Linked DNA regions of Sus scrofa. The protein of the gene in region 1 purifies or fractionates together with the protein of each later gene. This does not show direct contact. Links are inferred from orthologs where the notes say so. Each region holds a gene or a part of one and is shown in the gene's direction. Other genes may lie near its edges. The genes, in order: ARHGDIA, RHOC and EZR.

Evidence for each region.
Region 2: the proteins of ARHGDIA (region 1) and RHOC purify together in Homo sapiens (affinity purification with mass spectrometry; 4 studies listed by BioGRID and IntAct, with this or other methods). This does not show direct contact. The link is inferred for Sus scrofa from reciprocal best matches to the Homo sapiens genes ARHGDIA and RHOC.
Region 3: the proteins of ARHGDIA (region 1) and EZR purify together in Homo sapiens (co-purification; 3 studies listed by BioGRID and IntAct, with this or other methods). This does not show direct contact. The link is inferred for Sus scrofa from reciprocal best matches to the Homo sapiens genes ARHGDIA and EZR.

Annotation. Positions count from the first base shown.
Region 1 is NC_010454.4:1,110,465-1,116,941, forward strand, and holds the start of ARHGDIA (rho GDP-dissociation inhibitor 1), read left to right. Parts: upstream 1-2,930; 5' UTR 2,931-2,977; intron 2,978-3,209; exon of another isoform or gene 3,210-3,233; intron 3,234-3,307; exon of another isoform or gene 3,308-3,547; intron 3,548-4,396; exon of another isoform or gene 4,397-4,527; coding exon of another isoform or gene 4,528-4,572; coding exon 4,573-4,762; intron 4,763-4,867; coding exon 4,868-4,951; intron 4,952-5,178; coding exon 5,179-5,255; intron 5,256-5,334; coding exon 5,335-5,398; intron 5,399-5,493; coding exon 5,494-5,693; 3' UTR 5,694-6,477. UniProt on the Homo sapiens protein: Controls Rho proteins homeostasis. Regulates the GDP/GTP exchange reaction of the Rho proteins by inhibiting the dissociation of GDP from them, and the subsequent binding of GTP to them.
Region 2 is NC_010446.5:107,730,497-107,736,966, forward strand, and holds the start of RHOC (rho-related GTP-binding protein RhoC), read left to right. Parts: upstream 1-2,405; 5' UTR 2,406-2,634; coding exon 2,635-2,653; intron 2,654-4,533; coding exon 4,534-4,697; intron 4,698-5,245; coding exon 5,246-5,366; intron 5,367-5,654; coding exon 5,655-5,785; intron 5,786-6,470. UniProt on the Homo sapiens protein: Regulates a signal transduction pathway linking plasma membrane receptors to the assembly of focal adhesions and actin stress fibers.
Region 3 is NC_010443.5:8,400,356-8,406,957, forward strand, and holds the start of EZR (ezrin), read left to right. Parts: upstream 1-3,006; 5' UTR 3,007-3,174; intron 3,175-4,131; 5' UTR 4,132-4,205; coding exon 4,206-4,217; intron 4,218-6,602. UniProt on the Homo sapiens protein: Probably involved in connections of major cytoskeletal structures to the plasma membrane. In epithelial cells, required for the formation of microvilli and membrane ruffles on the apical pole. Along with PLEKHG6, required for normal macropinocytosis.

The DNA of each region.
Region 1 (6,477 bases):
TGCACAGGAAGAGGCCCTTGAGGTTGCTAGGAGGCAGGGGGTGTGTTTTAAAAGGAGAGGAGAGGCCACAGTCCTTGGCTTCCCTTCTGATTAAGAGGTGAGTCTCTGTTATGGTGTGATTTTTTTTTTTTCCCCAGGGCTGCAGCTGCAGCATATGGAGGTTCCCAGGCTAGGGGTCGAATCGGAGCTGCAGCTGCCAGCTTACACCACAGCCACAGGGTATCAGAGCTCCATCTGGGACCTAGGCCACAGCCTGGAGCCAGGCCAGGCCTGTGTCAGGTTCTTAACCCAGAGCCACAACGGGAGCTCCTAGATGAGAAGTTTGATGGACAATGTGCCACTGGAAGAGAAGGAACAACTGGTAGACGCCCTCCCTGAGAGTAACTGTGACTCCTTAGAGACCTCTGAGCCGAGCGCCTCAAAGCCTTTGCTACGGGACCTGACTGCGCTGCTGGGAGCTGCTCCCGCTGTTCCAGACGGCGTGAGTCCCTGTCACAGAGAAGGCAGCTTCCTGCTCACGCTTGTCTGGAGACCTGTGGCCAGAGTGGAGCGGTTCGTAACCTCCTTCCCTGCTGTGGAATTGTGTGTTGGCTACACCTTCACCTGTCTCCACCCCTGAGACTCTCACCCGCTCTCACGCTTGGGCTCTGTGGCAAACTCTGCCCTTGAACCTGGCCTGGCTGAACTTGGGCTTGGGAGCAAGGAGCCTCAGAAGGCCTCTTGGAGCACTTGCTCGCGGAGTGCCGCTGCCAAAATGCCACGAGAGAGGGTGTGGAAGGCCCTCGGGCTGACAGCCTCTGGGTTTGCTTCACACTTGCTGCATGTGGAGAAAGGAGGGCACAGATCAAACAAGACGGGCCACAAGCTGGTACCTGCAGAAGTGGGTGGCAGGTCCACTGGGCTTCTTAACCCCATTCTTACTACCTCGCGTGGGGGCTGCCCCCTTGTTCTGGTGCCCCTGTGGGCGCCCATCACATTGTACCAGACACGGTCTGTGTCGCCAGCAGGAGAGGCAGCAGTGGCGGCACGTCTGACACGACGCTGTGAGGGACACTAAGGCTGTGTCTTGAGCTTACTCTTGTTCTGAGGCCTCACTCGGGAGGGAGGCCGAAGGAAGCAGGGAACTGAATCCTCCTCCCCAAAGGGAGGACCCGAGCCTCCTGCCCACAGCGCAGGCATGAGCTTGAATTCCTGCAGATGTCCAAAGACCAAGTCCCTGGTTCCCAGCTTGACCACAGCCTCATACAAAACCCAAAGCCACAACTACCCTGCAGAGGGGCTCCCTGATCCTTGGACACTATGCAAAATAATAAAATTGGTCGTTTCAAGTGGCTAAATTTCATGGCCTGCTTTTACACAGCAACAGACGATGTATGTAAGAGCCTGGTATTTTTTTAAAAAGCACTTGGGGGAGTTCCCGGTGTGGGACCCAGCGAAAACAAATCCGACTAGGAACCATGAGGTTTTGGGTTCGATCCCTGGTCTCACTCAGGGGGATCCGGAGTTGCCCTGACCTGTGGTGTAGGTTGCAGACTAGGCTTGGATCCCGTGTTGCTGTGGCTGTGGTGTAGGCCAGCAGCTGTAGCTCTGATGTGACCCGCAGCCTGGGAACCTCCATATGCCACGGCTGCGGCCCTAAAAAAAGCGAGAGAAAAAAAAAAAAAAAAGAATAAATAGGAGTTCCCCTCGTGGCACAGTGGTTAACGAATCCGACTAGGAACCATGAGGTTGCGAGTTCGGTCCCTGCCCTCGCTCAGCGGGTTAAGGATCCGGCGTTGCCGTGAGCTGTGGTGTAGGTTGCAGACACGGCTGGGATCCTGCGTTGCTGTGGCTCTGGCATAGGCCGGTGGCTACAGCTCCAATTCAACCCCTAGCCTGGGAACCTCCATATGCCGCGGGAGCGGCCCAAAGAAATAGCAAAAAGACAAAAAAAAGACAAAAAAAAAAAAAAAAAAGAATAAATAAAGTAAAAGGCACTTGGGTTACTGGAAAGCAGTTTGGCAGCGAGGCAGGACGCCCGGCTCTGGCGTTGCAGCTTCCAGTAACAGGACGCCTGCGAAGCACATCCCAGGAACCAACCAGCTTGGAATGCTCTGCCTTTGGCCAGCTCAACTTTCTACACAGAAAGCTGACAGTATTCCCCAAACTGGCGCAAGTTGAGACATTTCCAAAAATACTAAGATCAGTATTTCGCAGTTCTATCGCTTCTACCGCCTAACAAGCCGATGCGCCATCCAGGTGAGCGTACGTGACCGCGCCGTGGAGCGGAGGGCTTGGACCCCACGCGGAGAGACGAGCGCTGGGGGCCCTCGGCAGCGCGGGCTCCATCCCGCCGGCCACAAATCACGCGCGCCCCCAGCCCCGGCGCTCCGGGTGGAGACCCCGGGGGACGGTGGCGGCTGAGCCAGGGGCTTCCGGAGTCACGAGCGGCACAGAGCCGCTCCCGATGCTGAGTTTCTCTTCGTGAAGGAGCGCTCCCGGCAGGGCGGCCAAACGCTGACGGGTCTGGAAAGGAAGGAAAGGCAGGGACGGCGCGCTGGTTTCGGGGACGGGGGCTGCCCGACTAGCGCGTCCCCGCGGTGTGACGGCTGCGTGCCCGAGAGACACGCCTGCGCCTCGCGTGCCACGCCCACCGTCCGCGAGCCACTGCCTCGCCCCTTTAGCTTGCGGGTTGACCCGCGGGGACGCCCCGGACCAGGAAACGCAGGTGCCAAAGGGCGCAGAACCCCAACCCTACCGGCCTCCACAGGGCTCCCCGCTCGCTGCCCACGCGGGACGCGCCCACAAGCCGGGATCTCAAGATGGCCGCGGCGCGCTCCCAGCAGCCCCCGCGCACGCATGCGCTCTCCGGAGCCCGCCCGGCGCGAGCGGAAGTCGCGTGATCCCGGAAGTGGCCGGCCGGGCGCGCGCGGGTGGGGCGGCGACGTTCGTCATTCCGTGCGGGAGGGAGCGCGAGAGCGGCGCGGTCGAGGCTCCGGTGAGCGCGGGCGGCGGGGCCGGCTGGTGCGGTGGGCTAGCGGGCGGGGCAGCCGCGGAGGGGGAGGCGGGGGGCCGCGCCTTTGTTCCCGCCGCCCGCCCCGCCCGCCCCGCCCTCCTGCCTGCCCACCCGAAGGGTCTGCGCTGGGCGGGGGCGGCGGTGACAGCGGGCGGCGGCCGGGGCGCCGGGGCAGCCCACGTGCGAATCGGGGACGCCGGAGGAGGGAGGCGGCGGCGAGGGAGCTGGAAGGCGAGAGGTGGGGGCGTAGGGGCCGGGGGCGGGAGCTGGGGATGCACAGAGGTGCAGGCCTCTTTTGTGGTCGCAGCTCGTGCTCAGCGGCTCCCTCCTCGCCGGTGCACGCCAGCCTGCTCCGGCCGGACGCCCACTCGCCTGAGCCGTGTGGCCCCCGCGCCCCACCCCGCGCGCCTGCCGCGCCCTGTCCAGATTGCGGGCCCTGCAGGAAGTGCGCGCCGCGCGATCGCACTTAGAGGATCCTGTCGCCTGCGGCCGCGCTTGAGTGGCGTTAGGGCGTGAGCTTTCTAGAGGAATTCCAGAGGAAGCGACTAGGAGGTCTGGAAATACGGGCCGGGCCCCACCCTGCCTTCGGCGGCCGGGTGGTTCCGGGTCCCCCGCGGCCCTTTGTGAGATCTTGTCCGCGCGCACATCCCGGCTTTGGCTGTCTTTACGGACAACGGCGGCCCTGACCCACCTCCCACACCACCGAGTCGGGTCCGAGCGGGTTTCAGATACTGCTCGGGGATTCCGGGGGGGGTATGCGATGGTCATTCTTAGTGAAAGAAGACCAGTGGCTGCCCTATGCACTGCTCCTCTCTTTGATGGCACTGCTGCGAGCTCTTCTGGGCGAGGATCCCGAAGGGGGCTCCTGAAATTCCCACACGTCTAGAGCAGTTTCCAAATTCTAGGTCTCTGAACCCTCACAGCTGGAGATAAGGTTGGCAGACATTTAGGGTCCCTCGTCCATTTCAGGATTTATCTGTGCGACTCAGGCTAGCCCTGTCATCTGAGCCTTAGGAGAGCCTTGTGTTTGTAGGGTGAGAAAGAACTAACTTGTAGCCTGCACAGACATTTAGGACAGGCCTGAAGGAACAGACCGATCAGCAATAGTCAGTAGGAGGGATCTCTTGAGGTGAGCCCCTGGGCGATTCAGGACAAGCAGCAGGACTTGGTCCTGACCCTGCTAGGTAGGTCTGGGGTGCTGCTGCTTCCTGGAAGCAGGGGAGCTGTCCCTGGTCTTTGCAAGGGGCAGGCTGGGGCCTCTCTAGCCCTGGATACTGTGGACCTGGAATTGGGTCCCCTGAGGTGGGCAGGATGAGGAGGTGAAGGTGGCCCTTCTGGGCCTCGGGAGACTGTTTCCGGGCCCTTTTCGACGTTCTGGCTGTCATGGCCTTCCTGTTACAGAGGATGCGCCTGCTCTTGGGCCCACATGGAGGCTTGGCCACCTGTGGAGGAAGATCCAACACTGATCACCAGTGGGACCTGCAGAAGGGCTAGAAGGGGCGACGCTGGGTTCCTCCAGGCTGCCACAGCCCATGCCACCCTGCCCACAGGTGTCCCAGACCCCGCTAGAAGAGAGCATGGCTGAGCAGGAGCCCACCGCCGAGCAGCTGGCACAGATTGCAGCTGAGAACGAGGAGGACGAGCACTCGGTCAACTACAAGCCCCCGGCCCAGAAGAGCATCCAGGAGATCCAGGAGCTGGACAAGGACGACGAGAGTTTGCGCAAGTACAAGGAGGCCCTGTTGGGCCGCGTGGCCGTGTCTGCTGGTGAGTGGACAGGAGCGCGGGTACCCGTGGCTTTCCTGGGTGTCTGCCGCTATTTACCCCCCCCCCCCCCCCCCCGCAGAATTCTAACTTGCGATCACTTTGCAGACCCCAACGTCCCCAATGTCGTGGTGACCCGCCTGACCCTGGTGTGTAGCACTGCCCCAGGGCCTCTAGAGCTGGACCTGACAGGTGAGTGGCCTCTCCGAGGTTCCTGGCTGGGGCCGCAGCGGTCGGCTGCTTCCGCTAAAAATAGTTTCTCGGGCTGCTGGCGCCCTCTGCTGGGGAGCACAAGAAGTGCAGCCGAGTCCTCTTACAGGGGTTGTGGCTTTTCCAGTCTTGCGTCTGGGGTGCCCAGGATGGTGGGAGGTGACTTCCTTTGGGTGAACTTCCTAGCATGGTCTTTCTCTCAAATTCAGGAGATCTGGAGAGTTTCAAGAAGCAATCCTTTGTGCTGAAGGAGGGTGTGGAATACCGGATAAAGATCTCTTTCCGGGTAAGGCGCCGGCGTCGGGGAGGTGCGGGGCCTGGGTGGGAAAGCCTCGCTGAGCCCTGCTCGGGGTGCCTCCCTGCAGGTGAACCGAGAGATCGTGTCGGGCATGAAGTACATCCAGCACACGTACAGGAAGGGGGTCAAGAGTGAGTGAGCGGGGCCCCCAGCCCCCAGGAGGGAGGGAGACCCGGGGGGTGGGGAGCAGAGCTGCCTCCTGACGGCTGTGTTCCCTGCATCGCAGTCGACAAGACCGATTACATGGTGGGGAGCTACGGGCCCCGGGCGGAGGAGTATGAGTTCCTGACGCCCATGGAGGAGGCGCCCAAGGGCATGCTGGCTCGAGGCAGCTACAGCATCAAGTCGCGCTTCACAGACGACGACAGGACCGACCACCTGTCCTGGGAGTGGAACCTCACCATCAAGAAGGAGTGGAAGGACTGAGCTGCGGCCGGAGGGAGGCGGGCAGGGCGGCCGAGGTCGAGGACGTGCCCCCCCACCCCCCCCATCCCCCGGACCCCAGACCAAAGTGCCGCCAGGGCCACCCACACTGCCGCCTCTCCCCGTCTGCCTCCTGGCCGCCCGCCCCTCCACCCTTCCAGCCCGCAGACCCAGCCGCCTCGGTGGTCTAGTGTCGTTGCTGCTTCCGCCTGTGCTGGGGGGGGTGGGCTCCTCCCAGGCCTTGTCTCCCCTTCGGTGTCCTCGAAGTCCCCACCTTCCTGACCCGACCCGAGGCCCTGGCTTCCCCCAGGAGAGTCGGGCATCGCGTGGGAGCTCTGGGTGCCCGGGTCCCTGGGCCTCCAGTCGCCCTGGCTCCCACCGTGGCCCCCTTCCCGGCGGGGGCGGGCTGTACCGCGTAGGGCCTGGCGGGGCCGGTTGTCCTCCCGCTTTCACTTCTCCCCGGTCAGTCCATCCACCGCTGTCAGTGACCGTCTAACCATGATGCCTTAACATGTGAACGCGTGCTGGGGGGGCGGCCCTAACCTCTAACCCCGTGTCTGCATGAGCATGTGGTCTCCCCCGGTCCCTGCCCTGTCCGCGCTCCCTGTGGCCCGGGGAGGTGTGTGGGGTGTGCTGCTCCCCAGTCTGCCCGGGCCTGGCCGGCCCCCTTCCCCGGCCAGCGCTGTGGGACGGCTCCTGGGGCTCGGGAAAGCCAAATTGCCAAAACTCCAGTGGCTTCCACTCCCATCTGGGAGGCTGGGTGTCCTCCCGCCTCTGCCTTCTCTGG
Region 2 (6,470 bases), on another chromosome or scaffold:
AAGTTGTCTGCATTCTGAATTTAGATTGTACCTTCTTTGAAGGCAGAAATCGACCTCAACTGAGCACATAGCTCAATTTATTGAGTCAGCTAAGAGGCCTGGGGACCACACAGCTCTGGACCTCAGTTTCCTCATTTAGCAAATATATGAGTTGCTTTTCAGATCTTTAAGGTATGCTTGACTTCTAACATTCATTCATTCATTCATTGATTCATTCAGCAAAGATCTGTTGAAAACCTATTTACGTGCCACACACTGTGCCAGACAGGAGAGGCATAGATTGGAGGATCACAGTAGGCAACTGGGAGAGGGACCAGCTTGGAGCCAGACAGGGCTGACCAGGAAGTGCTTGCTCTGCCACATACAAATGGCAAATTTTGGGCAAGCCGCTTAACTTCCTTGAGCCTCAGTTTCCTTACAGGCAAAAGGGGATGGATATACTTATTCCGAAGATTTGTGATGAATGTTAAAAGCTATGTATTGTACGATCCCAAGCTAATAAAATGTGAGTAGACTTCCTCATCTTCCACCCACCTCCTCAGGCACCTTTCAGGGAAGGAAATACACCTGTTGGTAAACACCCGGTGCACAAGTCGAACCCGGCTAGGTGTCCCTAACAGCACAGAAATAATACAGTGGGGGCGAGAACTGAATTCAAAGCTGGGGATCCGGAAGGATTTCCAGGACTGCCTTTTGAGGGATGGGTAGGAGTTGGAAACTCCAGGCAGGGAGAAACGAAGGGAACTGGGAGGTGGAACCAGGTGCCTTGAATCTCAAAGGTTCTGAAAAGTCTCCAAGGCTAGAGGATGATAGTGGACTGTACTTACTCCGCAGTGATTCTAGGAACAGAGGGTGGGCATCTTCCGCGGCCCTCTCCTCGGGCGTCCCCAAAGACTCCTTTCTAGTCCCGCGAAGCCCCGGGTGGTGTAGACGCGGGTGGCCAGTTGGCCACAGGAGGGCAGCAGCGGCCCTTTCCTGACTCCACCCCGAGCGCCTCTCAACTTTCCCGATACCGGTTCTCCCCTAGGAGCTGGAAGGCGGGGCAGAGGCAGAGTCCTTCAGGGTCCCGTCGGCTGTGCCCCGCCGCCCACGCCTCCACAGCCTGGGCCTCTTTCCCGAGCCCCCGGCCGGCACCCGGGACCGCCCCCCCACCCCGGCCCCCGCGGCCTGCGCTCAGCGACCCGCGGGGGCGGGGGGCGGGCGGAGCCTAGGGCCGCCCGGCCCGCCCCTCCCCCTGCGGGCCCGCCCCTCCCGCGAGTCGCCCCTCCCGCCGCGGCGAAGAAGGAGGGCGGGGCGGTGCCCCTCGGGTCAGTCTGCCTCCGGCACCGGCCGCGCAGCTGGGAGCGGTGGAGCGGAAGGTACCTCGGGTTAGGGCTGGGGGCGGCGGGGTTGTCCTGGGAACTCGTCCCCGGCAGAGCACTTTCCCCCTTCTCCGCTTGGCCGGAGCTCGGGGCGCCGGCCGGGGAGGAGGGGCTTTGGCCCGAGTACGGGCCGCCTGCCCTCCCCTTGGACGCGGCGCCTGGGCGGCGCGGGGGTCGGCCGGGCTCGGCCCCTCCCTGCCCTCCTGGGCCGCCGTGAGGCGCCCCGGGAATTGCCCCGCAGGGCCTGTCGTCTCTTGGTGTCCAAGCCGGAGTCCCTTGCCTTCCCCTCCCGACTTCCCGGAACCTGCCCGGCCGGGCGAGGGGAAATGGGGCAACTTGGGTCTCTGCGAGGAAGCCCCAGGCCAGACGCTCTAGTTTCCAGGCCCGGCGGCCCGCTGTGGACCGGGGCTGGGGTGTGGGTCCCGGTCCGAGTCCGGATGGAGGAGGGAATTCCCCTCGCCGGGCTGGTGGAGTGGCGGGAATAGGGGCTGGGTGTGACCGTGGGGGCGGCCACTGTTCCGGGGGTCTGGCCGTCGCCCTAGATGGTTTCTGGAGTCGGCCTGGAGTGGGAGGTAGGGGAGATTGGGAAGGATCCAGCTCGTGCGTGTGTGTGTGAGTTCAAGAATCTCCTCCCTTCCAACCCCCCCACCCGCCTTCACACTTCCCAACCCGGCTAGAGAGTGTCCTGGGGGTTTGGGCTGGAGGCCCCAAGGCTGAGTCCTGCCATCACTTCTAGTTTTCACGTTCAGGAGGACGTATCTGATTTCTTCCCTGGACCTCAGGGGTGGCCAGCAGGGTACTGCAGCCCCTGGTTCATCTGGGAATCTACAGGATGGAGGAGAGGGCAGCTGTTTAGTCCCAAGGAAGGCCCCAGGAGTTCAGGTTCCATTCCAGTCCAGTGTGGGGTTTGGTTGCCTCTCTGAGGGTCAGTGGGGCAGTTCTTCAGGGGCCGCCTCTCACAGGGAGCTGTTGTCCTTGCCATCTTGGCCTTGGGCCTGGTGGCCTGGGCCAACTACTCTACTGAGCTTGAAGGGAAAGTCTTATGATTGAGCTGGGGGCTCCAGGTAATTTAATGCATGCTCTTGCCCCGGAGTTCTGGCCTCTGCCCCCCACCATCTGGTGCCACCTAAACTGTCCTGCTGGGGGTGGGCAGTGGCACATTCATGCCTAAGCAACTGGCAGTCACCCCAGTGGTGAATGCCCTCCAGCCCTCCATCAGCAGGGCCCTGCCCGGGTTGGGGCCACCCCAGCCTGTTTTCCCACCGCTGGACCAATGGAACTTGTGGGAGCAGGTAAGCGAGTTTTGGTCACCTGGGTAGAGTTTCCAGGGACACTCCCCCCTTTTCTGAAGGATGGTTTCCATTTTTGGAAGGGATCTGCTGGCAGGGTGAATGCCTTCTTGTTTGTCTTTTGGGGTGTCAGGGGGAGCCCCTGTTGTGGTGGGGAGAGTGGCTGTGCACTCTCAACTCCTATAAATTCCCTCTGACTCATATCCACTTCCCCTCATCCCAGTTGTGTGTGTGTGTGTGTGTGTGTTTGTGTAGGGGAGGGAGGCCACCCAGGATCCCACTGTGGAAGAAAACTTGTCTTGGGCTGGGATATTCGCCTCTTAAAAGACAGACCAAGGCAGGGGTGTGAAGTGATGCTGGTGTGGGGAGAGTGAAGGAGTTGAGTCTAGAACGACAGGATGTGGGACTGAGAGAAAAAGCCAGGTTTGGGGCAGAGATCGGGTTACCATCTCCTCCTTTCTTAACTGCTCCCTGCCTGGTTGGTGCTGGGACTCATTTGTCTCTTTTTTGGGGCTCCTCCCAGCACTGACTCTAGCCGCCCCCCCCAGCAGCCTCGACTTCATCTCAGCTCCAGAGCCCGCCCTCTCTTCCTCCCAGGCCTCAGCCTGGGAACTCCAGCCGGCTGGAGGTCGGCTCCTCTCCCCAGGGAAGGAGGAAGTGAGGCTCAGCTCAGGGGCAGGGAAGCTAGGAAGGTGTGATGAACTGTGCAGATGCTCTTTGGTGTGTGTCGGGGGCGGGAGACACTGGAAACCCCGGGAAGCTGACTCCTTGCCCTGAGTCACAGGGAGGGGTGGGCAGGGCCTTGGGGTGAGCTGGACAGAGGGGAGGAAGGGGCTGTTCCAGGGAGTGGGTGGAGGTGATTCCCTAGTGGATTATTCTCAGTCCCTCTGCTGTGGTAGATGTGTGGCTCCCTACAGTGTGGTCATTGTCCCCTGCCTGGGGCTGAGTGACCCAGTGTTGCTGCCAGGCCCAGGAGGAAGGGGGGAGGAAGGCAGGCTGCCCGAATGTGGGCTGTGGGCACTGCCCAGACTGAGCCTCCTTTGTGTGCCTTGGGGCTCTGGGGACCAGGATGGGGTGGGCCAGGGACACCGGCTGGCTGCTGCCACTGCCCTCCATCCGTCTGCTCTCCTTCCCACCTCTGGGGTGATATGTAGAGAAGGCAGCAGACTAGTGTCTCCTGCCCTGCTTTGACTGCCATCACTGCCACGGCTCCATACACATTGTCTTAAACCTTCTGAGCCACACTTTCCTAGTTTGTCAAAATGGGAAGCCCACTTTCAACCTTCCAGGCTTCTGGGGGCTGAGGGAGGTGATTTTTGTCAGTGCGCCCCCCCATAGTGCCTGGCACCCAGGGGCGTGGTAAATATTCCTTCCCTACCCACCCATATTGGTGGGGACTCTTGGTTTTTCTCTGGGCACGCATGACTGTGCTGAGTGAGGGACAGTGTGTTCTAGATTGGACATTTGAGATAATTAAATTTGAAAAGTATCAAGATCCTGGTAACAAATAAGTCTGACTTGATACCCTGCTATGTAGAGCAAATAAAAGCTGCTGCTTCAGACACCTGTCTAGGTGTCCAGGGGCCCACACTTGGTGAGTGGATTAGATTAGAACTCATGTTTTCTGGCTCCCAAGTGGGTGGTTCTTCCACCTCCCACTTCTGTGTTCTAACCCATGGGGGCAGGTCTGTCTCTGACCCTGAGATTAAGAATTTCAAGCTCAGTTGCTTCAACAATTGGTTCTTGGCAAGAAGGTGCCTGAGCAAAAAGCCCCTCTCCCTCCCTTCCTTCCGTGGTTTCCAGGGAGGTCTTGGGGGGCCCTAGAGACGTGTTTTTGGACTTCGTGGCTTTCCCCAACATCCCCACTGCCTCTTCTTTGCTAGCCCCAGCCATGGCTGCCATCCGAAAGAAGCTAGTGATTGTGGGGGACGGGGCCTGTGGGAAGACCTGTCTCCTCATCGTCTTCAGCAAGGATCAGTTCCCAGAGGTCTACGTCCCCACCGTCTTTGAGAACTACATCGCAGACATCGAGGTGGACGGCAAGCAGGTAAAGGCCAGGAGCCTCTGCTCATCGCGCCTCGGCACCCCGCCCCCAGCACTTAGGAGCCTGGGATGGCCCTCCTCTCCCCCGACCCACACCCTTGCTCCCCTCTCCCGGCTGAAAGCAGTGAAGTGAGGAAGTGCAACTGCCGTCCCTGGAAATCCAGCCTCCTGGTTCTTTACACATGCGCTCTAACCTGGGCCCAGTCCCTTGGTCTCTGGGCTTGAGCCCTGACCCCACCCCAACTATAAAATGGGAATAACAGTAGGGCCTCTTTCAAAGAGTTTCAGTGAAGATGAAATAAAACAGTGGTGCTCACAATGGCAGTTCACACTGCACAAAGACCAAACACATTGTCTCAGGGTTGAACTCACCTTATGTTGTGTGGCTGGGATGAGGACTATCCCTTGCATGTAGTAGGTGCTCAGTAGGTGCCCAGTGAACCTAAAGGACCAGGATTTCAGAGAGGACACCTGGGTGGCAGGGCGTGCGGGGGTGTGCCTGGGGCGTGCCTGGGGCCCTCAGGCTAGCGAAGCACTGGCCCTGTGTGTCAGGTGGAGCTGGCCCTGTGGGACACAGCAGGGCAGGAAGACTATGATCGCCTGCGGCCTCTCTCCTACCCGGACACTGACGTCATCCTCATGTGCTTCTCCATTGACAGCCCCGACAGTCTGGGTGAGCTTGTTGGAGGGACGGGATTGAGAATCCCTTTGAATCCACCAGTGGGAGGGAGCTCCTGCCTTGGTTCATTTGAACCCTTTTCGGAGGCTGGGGGGAGGTGCCGGGGAGCCCCTTGGCCTCCTCCTGTGGTTACTATGGCCTTTAGAGGACTTGGGAGGGTGTGTGCTGTGAGGGAGAGGGGTTTTGAGCTGTGAAAGGGGCTGCCTTGGGGAGACAGGGGGCCCTGGGGAGCCCTCTAGCCTAAGTGGGGGCACTGACCCCTGTCGGGATGTGTCTGCACAGAAAACATCCCTGAGAAGTGGACCCCGGAAGTGAAGCACTTCTGCCCCAATGTGCCCATCATCCTAGTGGGAAATAAGAAGGACCTGAGGCAAGATGAGCACACACGGAGGGAGCTGGCCAAGATGAAGCAGGTGAGTGTGGCTGCCAGGCAGAGGAGGAAGGACCCCCGTGAGGGCTGACAGGCTGGTAAAGAAGCCTTCTCCTGTTGACTCCCTGTGACTTCCTACCCCCTGTGTCGACACCATGGTGAGGGAGGGAGAACCAAACGGGCCCTAGTGTCTGAGCCAGTATATGATGAAACTGTCAGAGGACAAAGTGACCTGTCCAAGGGCACTTGGCAGCTTATCCATTGCCCACTGTTTGATGTTGGGGCTAGAAAGATGAATCAGAAAATCTCTGCCCTCAGGGAGCTGGCTTCTTACAATAAAGGTTTGCTTGGGATATGCAGGTAGAGCCACCTAAATACACCTGGGAGGTATGGGCTGAGGTGGATGCAGGACGAGGGCATTGAGTGGCTGGAACAAGGGCAGAGTGGGGGAGCTACCTTATTTGGGGTCCCGGTAAGTGGCTTTCTAGCCAGAGGTGAGTTAATCAGGGAGAACTGCCAGGCCAAGAAACATGGATTGTCCTCCAAGGATAATGTGGCAGGGTTTTAAATTGGGGACAGGTATGGTCAGGTCAGCATGTTAGAAAAATGAGTCTGGCAGCCCTACAGGATGGACTGGAAGAGAGTGAGAACAGAGGCAGGGTCGGTCAGTTAGGAGATCCTGATTCAGGTAAGAGAAGGGTGAACCGTGGGGTGTAAAGCCAATGAAG
Region 3 (6,602 bases), on another chromosome or scaffold:
GGCCGCGTCCTTATTCGTTCTCGCACTCTTTCACCCGCTGTCCCGAATTTTCACCCAAGGTTATTGAGTCCTGCAAGATAACACAAATCTTTGTTTTGCCAATAGTGCTCTATATATTTCCCTATTGACTGTTCTTTGGAAGCGACAGAGGCTCAGACTGTCATGCTATTTGTGAGCTTTTTTCTTGGTTGAGATTAGCCTGGCACCAGCATGGAGATAGGTTCCAAGGTGACCCGCCGTCCAGCCTACAATCAGGGGATGCTGACATTCTGGGCAGACAGTCCTCATCCTTGCCTGTGTCCCAAGCTGCCAGGAGGGCTGCCTAACTCACCTTTGTGTACACTGGTCTGAAGAACTCCAAGCAATTTGCCAGCAGCCTTTCACCTGGGCTCATGGGTAGACATATGATTTCCCTCCTCCCGCTGAAACCCTGAAATGAGGTGTGAGTTGTTCAAGGTTGATAGTTAGTCTAAACAAGAGCAGGGATGGGATCTAAGCTTCCTGGCTCCAGGTGTCTTCACTTCCTTCCAGGCACTGATAGCATACGTGAGCAAGGCCATGACTTACAAAATGAGGGAATAAGCTCACAAAAGAAGGGTGAAGGGTGAGGCAAGGTGAGTAGCATTGGCCAAGTCCTACCACACCTGGCACCCGTGTTCTCCAATCTCGAGTACCTCAGGCTCACCTGGAGACTTGTTACAGACGGAGGCTTATGGACTTCTAAGTCCTAGAGGGGCATCCACGAGTGATTCTAATGCACCCTGACTCAGTACCATCATCCTAAGCGACTCATAAATTCCTTGGAGTTCATCTTCTGTGTGTTGGGAGGACAGCAGTTGGGAGAGGCTTAGATTCTAAGGTCAGGGGAAAATAAATTACCCTTGGCAAATCCTTTTAAAACACTCGTACAGTATAAATGTTTTTGCGAGGGAATAAAAACCTACATAGTAGCACGTAGTATAAGGTGTAATGCTTTCAGGAACGTAAGACATGAGGAATGCATATTTTAAATGACTACTATGTAAACTTATGCAAGAAAAGCAGACCTAGAAGTTGCATTTGAGTAAGTTGAGAACTCACATTATATGGTTCTGTGACACCAGAACACCATGATATGTCTATTATTATCTCTGTTCTGCGGACGGGGAGGTGGGAGCTCAGTGGAATTAAGAGACTTGCTCAAAGTAACCAGCTTGTAAGCACTGGAACTAGGATTCAGATCTAGCTCTGTGTGCTTCTGAAACCTGCGATCTTTTCATTTTTATGGCATTGCCACAGGCCATTTCATTTTGCAGCATGCCCCTGAAGGGTAAAGTGCAGAAATGCTCCAGAAGTCCTGGGCTACTGCTATTTCCAACACTCAGTTAAGCTTATATACTATAAACTAGGCGAGATTAAAAAAAAATTAGATTAGTGGCATATCCCGCTGCCGAGTTGGGGACCCAAAATGGCTAACAAGACTCCAGGCAGCGATAAGAAGAGGAGATAGAGTGCGTTACGAATGACATGTCCAACCTGGGCCTTTTTGATCGTGGGTTAACTATCTTTCATAGCTTCCTTCCTAATGCAGTTCCCTTTACCTTTTCATTTTCAAAAAGAAAGTCAGTTTTTCAGGAGAAGCAGACTTGCCCAAATAGTGTGCCACCAAATCTCCGTCTCCAAGAGGCTTCCCTACTCCACCCCCCCCCCCGACTTCTGAAAGACCCCGGACCTGTAGGAGGAAGGGGGGTGGTCAGAGGTGACAAGGAGTACCTCAGAACCCTGGGACAGGTTAGCTATTACTAGGGGCCAAAACTGTGCTAAACACTTTGCATGTATTATCTCATTTAATCCCTACAAGTCCGTTTCGGGGCTGCTGTTTTATCTCTAGTCTACAAATTGGAAAACGAGTCTTCGAGTTTGGTGCTTTGCCCAAAGGGACTCGTTAATCTCTGTCCCAGGATTGATGTGAGGGCTTACCATGCGCCAGGCACTGTTCTAGGCATTGTATAGGTAGGTATTAACTCCTTTAATCCTCAAAACAAGCCTATGAAATAGGTGCCGTAATGATGCCATTTTACAGATGTGAAAGTGTTAAATAACTCTAACTCATCAAGGAGTTAAAGAACTCACTCAACTCAAACGGAGTTAGTGGTGAGCCCAGGAAAGCAATTCAGGACAGTCCCTGGTCTCAGCCTTTAGCCTGCAACGCAAACACCTGGAGGCCTGAAGTTTTTCCGACCCGCTGGGCCCCAGCCCTAGAGTTTCTGATTCCGGAGGTTTCGGGGCAGTACCTGTGAATTTCCATTTTGCAAGTTCCCAGGTGAAGCTGTTACTTAACTACTAGTCTGGGAAGCGTGCTTTGAAAACCACTGCTCTAGAGGCAGCCTGCTTAATCCCTGAGCAACAAATCCTGTTGGCCACCAAAGTGCGTGTGCGTGTGTAACTATGTCCTCTTGAGAACCATTTGCAAAAAAAATAGTTGAAATAATTCCTAGAATTTTTCCCTATGGAGATTTTTTTTCCCCCATAAGCTTGTACTAGTCAAATCAAACCAGGCCACAAATGTGTCCATTGACCAGACCCTACAATGGTTGTGTCCTCCACCGAATCCCAGAGTGGGGGCGGCCACGTGCGCGGGGACACAGCGGCTAGGTCCCAGTTTCTCAGAATCCCTCTTAGGTCCCGGCGCAAGGACAGCAAAATGACCTGACCACGGAGGCAGCCCCACTCCAAAAGGCCCAGCACCTCGCCGGTGGCCGTGGGCTCCTCCAGGCTTATTTACATTTTCCCGGCCTCCCTCGGTCCTTTACGGAACAAGCTCACACTTTACATCTACCCCCAGGAGCTGAGTCAGATTCGGCAAAGTTCTTCTCCAAGCGCCAGGGGACCGGCAGGGAGAGGGGGAAGGTCTCTCGAGGCCCAGAGGCAGCCGGGCGGGTGGGAGGCGGAGGCGCCCCTCGCCGCGTCTCGGGGGCCCCCGGGGCGGCGGGCGGGGCGAGGGGCGGGGGCGGCGGCGGGCGGCGGCCGCGGCCATCTTGCGCGCGAGGCGCACCTCGCAGGTCGGGAGGGCGGGGCCGTCAGGGGCGCGGCCCCGGGACCCCGCCCCGCCAGGGACTCTCGGGAGCGCGGCCGCGGGCGCACTGCACGGCGCACAGGCGGCGGGAGCGCAGCGGTCCTCTGCAGGAGCCGCGGGTGAGCGGGGCGTGCGGCCGGGGGTTGGCGGGCGGGCGGCTCGCCCTCCCCGGGAGGGGTCAGTGGCTGGAACTCCACGCAGGTGTGGCGGCCGCGTCCGGGGAGGGGCGGCCGGCGCGCGAGCCCCGGGCTGGTGGTCCGCGAGGGGAGCCATGCCCGCCCGGCCACCAGCCGGGCTCGGCGTCCTGGGCTCTCGAACGGGCAGGGTCCTGAGCGCGCGCTTCCTCTGCGGCCCAGATACCCAGCAGGTGAAGCTTCACCTGCCCGCGTGGCCGCCCCGGCTGCTCCGCGACCTTCCTCTTTACACTTTGCCCCTTCGGGTCCCTCTCCCAAAGTGCCCGCGGAGCCCGGGCTGCGCCGCTTGCCGGCCCGGGCGGCCCTCGCCGTTCCCGGGCGGGGACAGTTTTTAAAAAATGTTTCTCAAAGGCTTGAAGGTTGCGGTTTCAGCCCTGGAGCAAACGGTTGCTTCACGAAGTGAAACTTGCTGTCGGTCTCCTGGGCTCCCCGCTGGCTTCCTGGAGGCCGGGAGGAGTCCCTCGGCCGCCCCCCGCCCCGGCTCCCTCGCCGCGGGTTCCTGCGGCCCCTCCCCGCCGCACCCCCCGCCCTCCCCTCCCCCCAGTCGCCCCCCCCGCCCTCCCCTCCCCCCCAGTCGCCCCCCTCCCCCCCAGTCGCCCCCTCCCCTCTCCCCCCCTCTTCCCCCCCTCCCCTCCTTTCCCCCCCTCCTCTCTCCCCCCTCCCCTCTCCTCCTCCCCTCCCCCCCGTCGCCCCCCGCCCTCCCCCTCCGCGCAAGTCCCGCCCGCCCGGCCCGTGGTAATTGCAGGTTGGGCGGTGACTCATCCCGGCGCCCGCCCGGCCGGTTCTTAAGCAGCAGCGCGGGGCGGGCGCCGAGTCCCGGGCGCGGCGGCGGGAGCAGGAGGCGGGCGGCTCTGCTCTAAAGGGGGTTTCCTCTGCCTGCAGGTCGGGAGAACCGTTTCAGCTGCTGCTGGAGATTGTGTTTCCAGGGATTGCGGAAAACCCATCAGGAACCGAAAATGCCGAAACCAGTACGTAACCCAGTTTCTGGGCTGGGTCGGATGCTTCGGGCTTTATTTTCAAGTAGAATTAGCCGGGCGAGGTTTGGGGGCAGTTTTTTGTAGAATAGGGTTCTTTGCTAAACGGATGAGAAGGCGGGGGTGGGGAGTTGTGTCCTCTCTTTTCATGTGTTGGTCCTTTGTGAAATGCTTGGCGAAAACAAGATTATGATCCGTTTCTCCACCGTCTTTTTGTTTGCGACACCCCGACCCGTAAAAATTGGAATCCCCTTTGCGGCTTTGTTTAAAAACAGCATTCTAATGCAACTTGGAAGTTTCTTGAAAACTTGTCTAAATCCCAGGGAGAGTCAGGTGGCTTCCGACGGAGCGCGCCAATTCCGAGTCCCTTCAAGTGTCTGGAAACAGATGCACCGGCTCTTTGGCGCTTTGAAGGGCATCTGGCAGAGAAGACGCGGTCTTTCTGGGGGCAGCTTCGTTCCAGTCCATTTTACGACCGGCCCGTGAAGCTGTGCTCTGTTAACTCGGGAATTTGCTGGTGGCAGCAGGATTCCTATCTCTGAAAGAGGTTTAGTAATGAACTTGAATTGCAGATGGAGTTAGGCAGCCCTGGAGTTCCTTTGATAAGGAGGCTGCTGGCCTCTCCAGTCCTGCACTCCTGGCCCACATCATAAACATCAGCTGACTGGGGTGCTGCTCCCCTCACCGCTGTCCCCTTGAATCTGATTACCTTGCCTTCTCGGGTAGATGGCTGGCAGGCTGGGGTTTTATGGCTTCTGTTTAAGTTATGGGAATAAAACAGGTTTTCTTCATAACCAGCATTTCTTAGAAAGTTATATTCTACCAGCTTTAACACAGGTGAATTGGTGACTCGATGTTGGGGAGAAAGTTTTTGAGTTTTGAATCATGGAGAGAATATCTGGATTCATTGAAAATGGCAGTAAAAGGTACCTATGGAATTTATTTCCAGTCCCACAAACAGGTTGGTTCTGTAGTCAGTGCTTATTGTGTTTTTCTGTCATTAAGTTTTAGACTGAAAAGGAGTTCTCTATTAATCGAGTCTTACTTACTGTTAGGTTAAGTAAATTACTGCAGTAACATGCCAGAAGATTCAGAAACCAGTAGGGTTTTTGCCTAAGTTACATCACCAAGATGATTCATTTATGATGCAGAAAAATTTTTTCCTACACAGGATTCTTCTTTTCTGAACAAATTTGCAGGCAGCCCAAAGGACATAATTCCAATTCCAGTGACATAAAATAGATCTAAACACAAGGCCTTGCTCGGGGCACAGCCCTGGGCGGTGTTCTGCAGAGCCGTGGTCAGAGATTACCTTTCCTGGTGTGGTGTGGTTTTCTTTATTTCACTGGAAGAAAAGATGCAAAGTTCAGCTTTTAAAATACCGCTCAGAAAAGAGTCAGTAAACCTATTTCCTGTCACTACTTTTTTATTTCTGTGATTTCTTGTATTCTCTCACTAATTTTTTTTGGTAGTACAATTTACATAACACACAGCTTCCCATCTTAATTATTCTCAAGTGTACGGTTCAGTTGTGTGTACGTTCCAGTTGTATGTCCATCACCACCCCCGCCTCCCGAACCTTTTCATCTCCCCAGACTGCACCTCAAAAGCTGACTTCCCATTTCCCCCTCCCTCCAGCTCCTGGCCACCACCCCTCCACTTGGTGTCTCCTGTCTCCTCCAGGTCCCTCCTGTACCTAAGATCACTCGTATGTGTCCTTTTGTGACTGGTTCCTTTCGCTTAGCACGGTGTCCTCCTGGTTGATCCATGTTGTACTCTGTGTCAGAATGTCCTTTTTTAAGGGTCTTTTTATTTCTTAGGGCAGGCATGTTTTCATTTGGCTTTAATGGTCTTTCACGATGGATCAGAAACTTAGAAAATACTCTCCTGCCAAAGCAAAGACAGCTGTTGAACTGCTAAGGAAGGGCAGTAGCCATCCTTCCCTTGTGACATTCTGGTATGTTAAGGTCCCAACAACCAGAGTGAGGTTTTGAAAGATACTTTATGTAACATTTACAGTTGATTTCCAAGTGGTAATGGGAGGTCGTCTTTTCTGTAAGCCACAGCTGTTTACCATGGAAATTTCCACCTGGTGGGGGAGGGCTTGAAGAGTTTGCCTCAAAAAAATGAATAGACTTAAGTCTTTCTCCACGTGAACCGAATGAGGGCCACCCCACAGCAGAGAGGAGCCTTTACCAGCGGAGGCGCGAGAACTTCCAGGGCTGTTGGAGAGAGTCTCGTTCTTGGGATGGTGGTTTGCTCCCTCTCTAGATGTTGATGCTGAAGCATCACCAACGAGCTCTGGACCTGTGTCCTTTGAACAAAGCGTTATTGATTGCTGCCGTTCAAGCCGAAACTGAGTTTTGTTAGGTGGTTTCC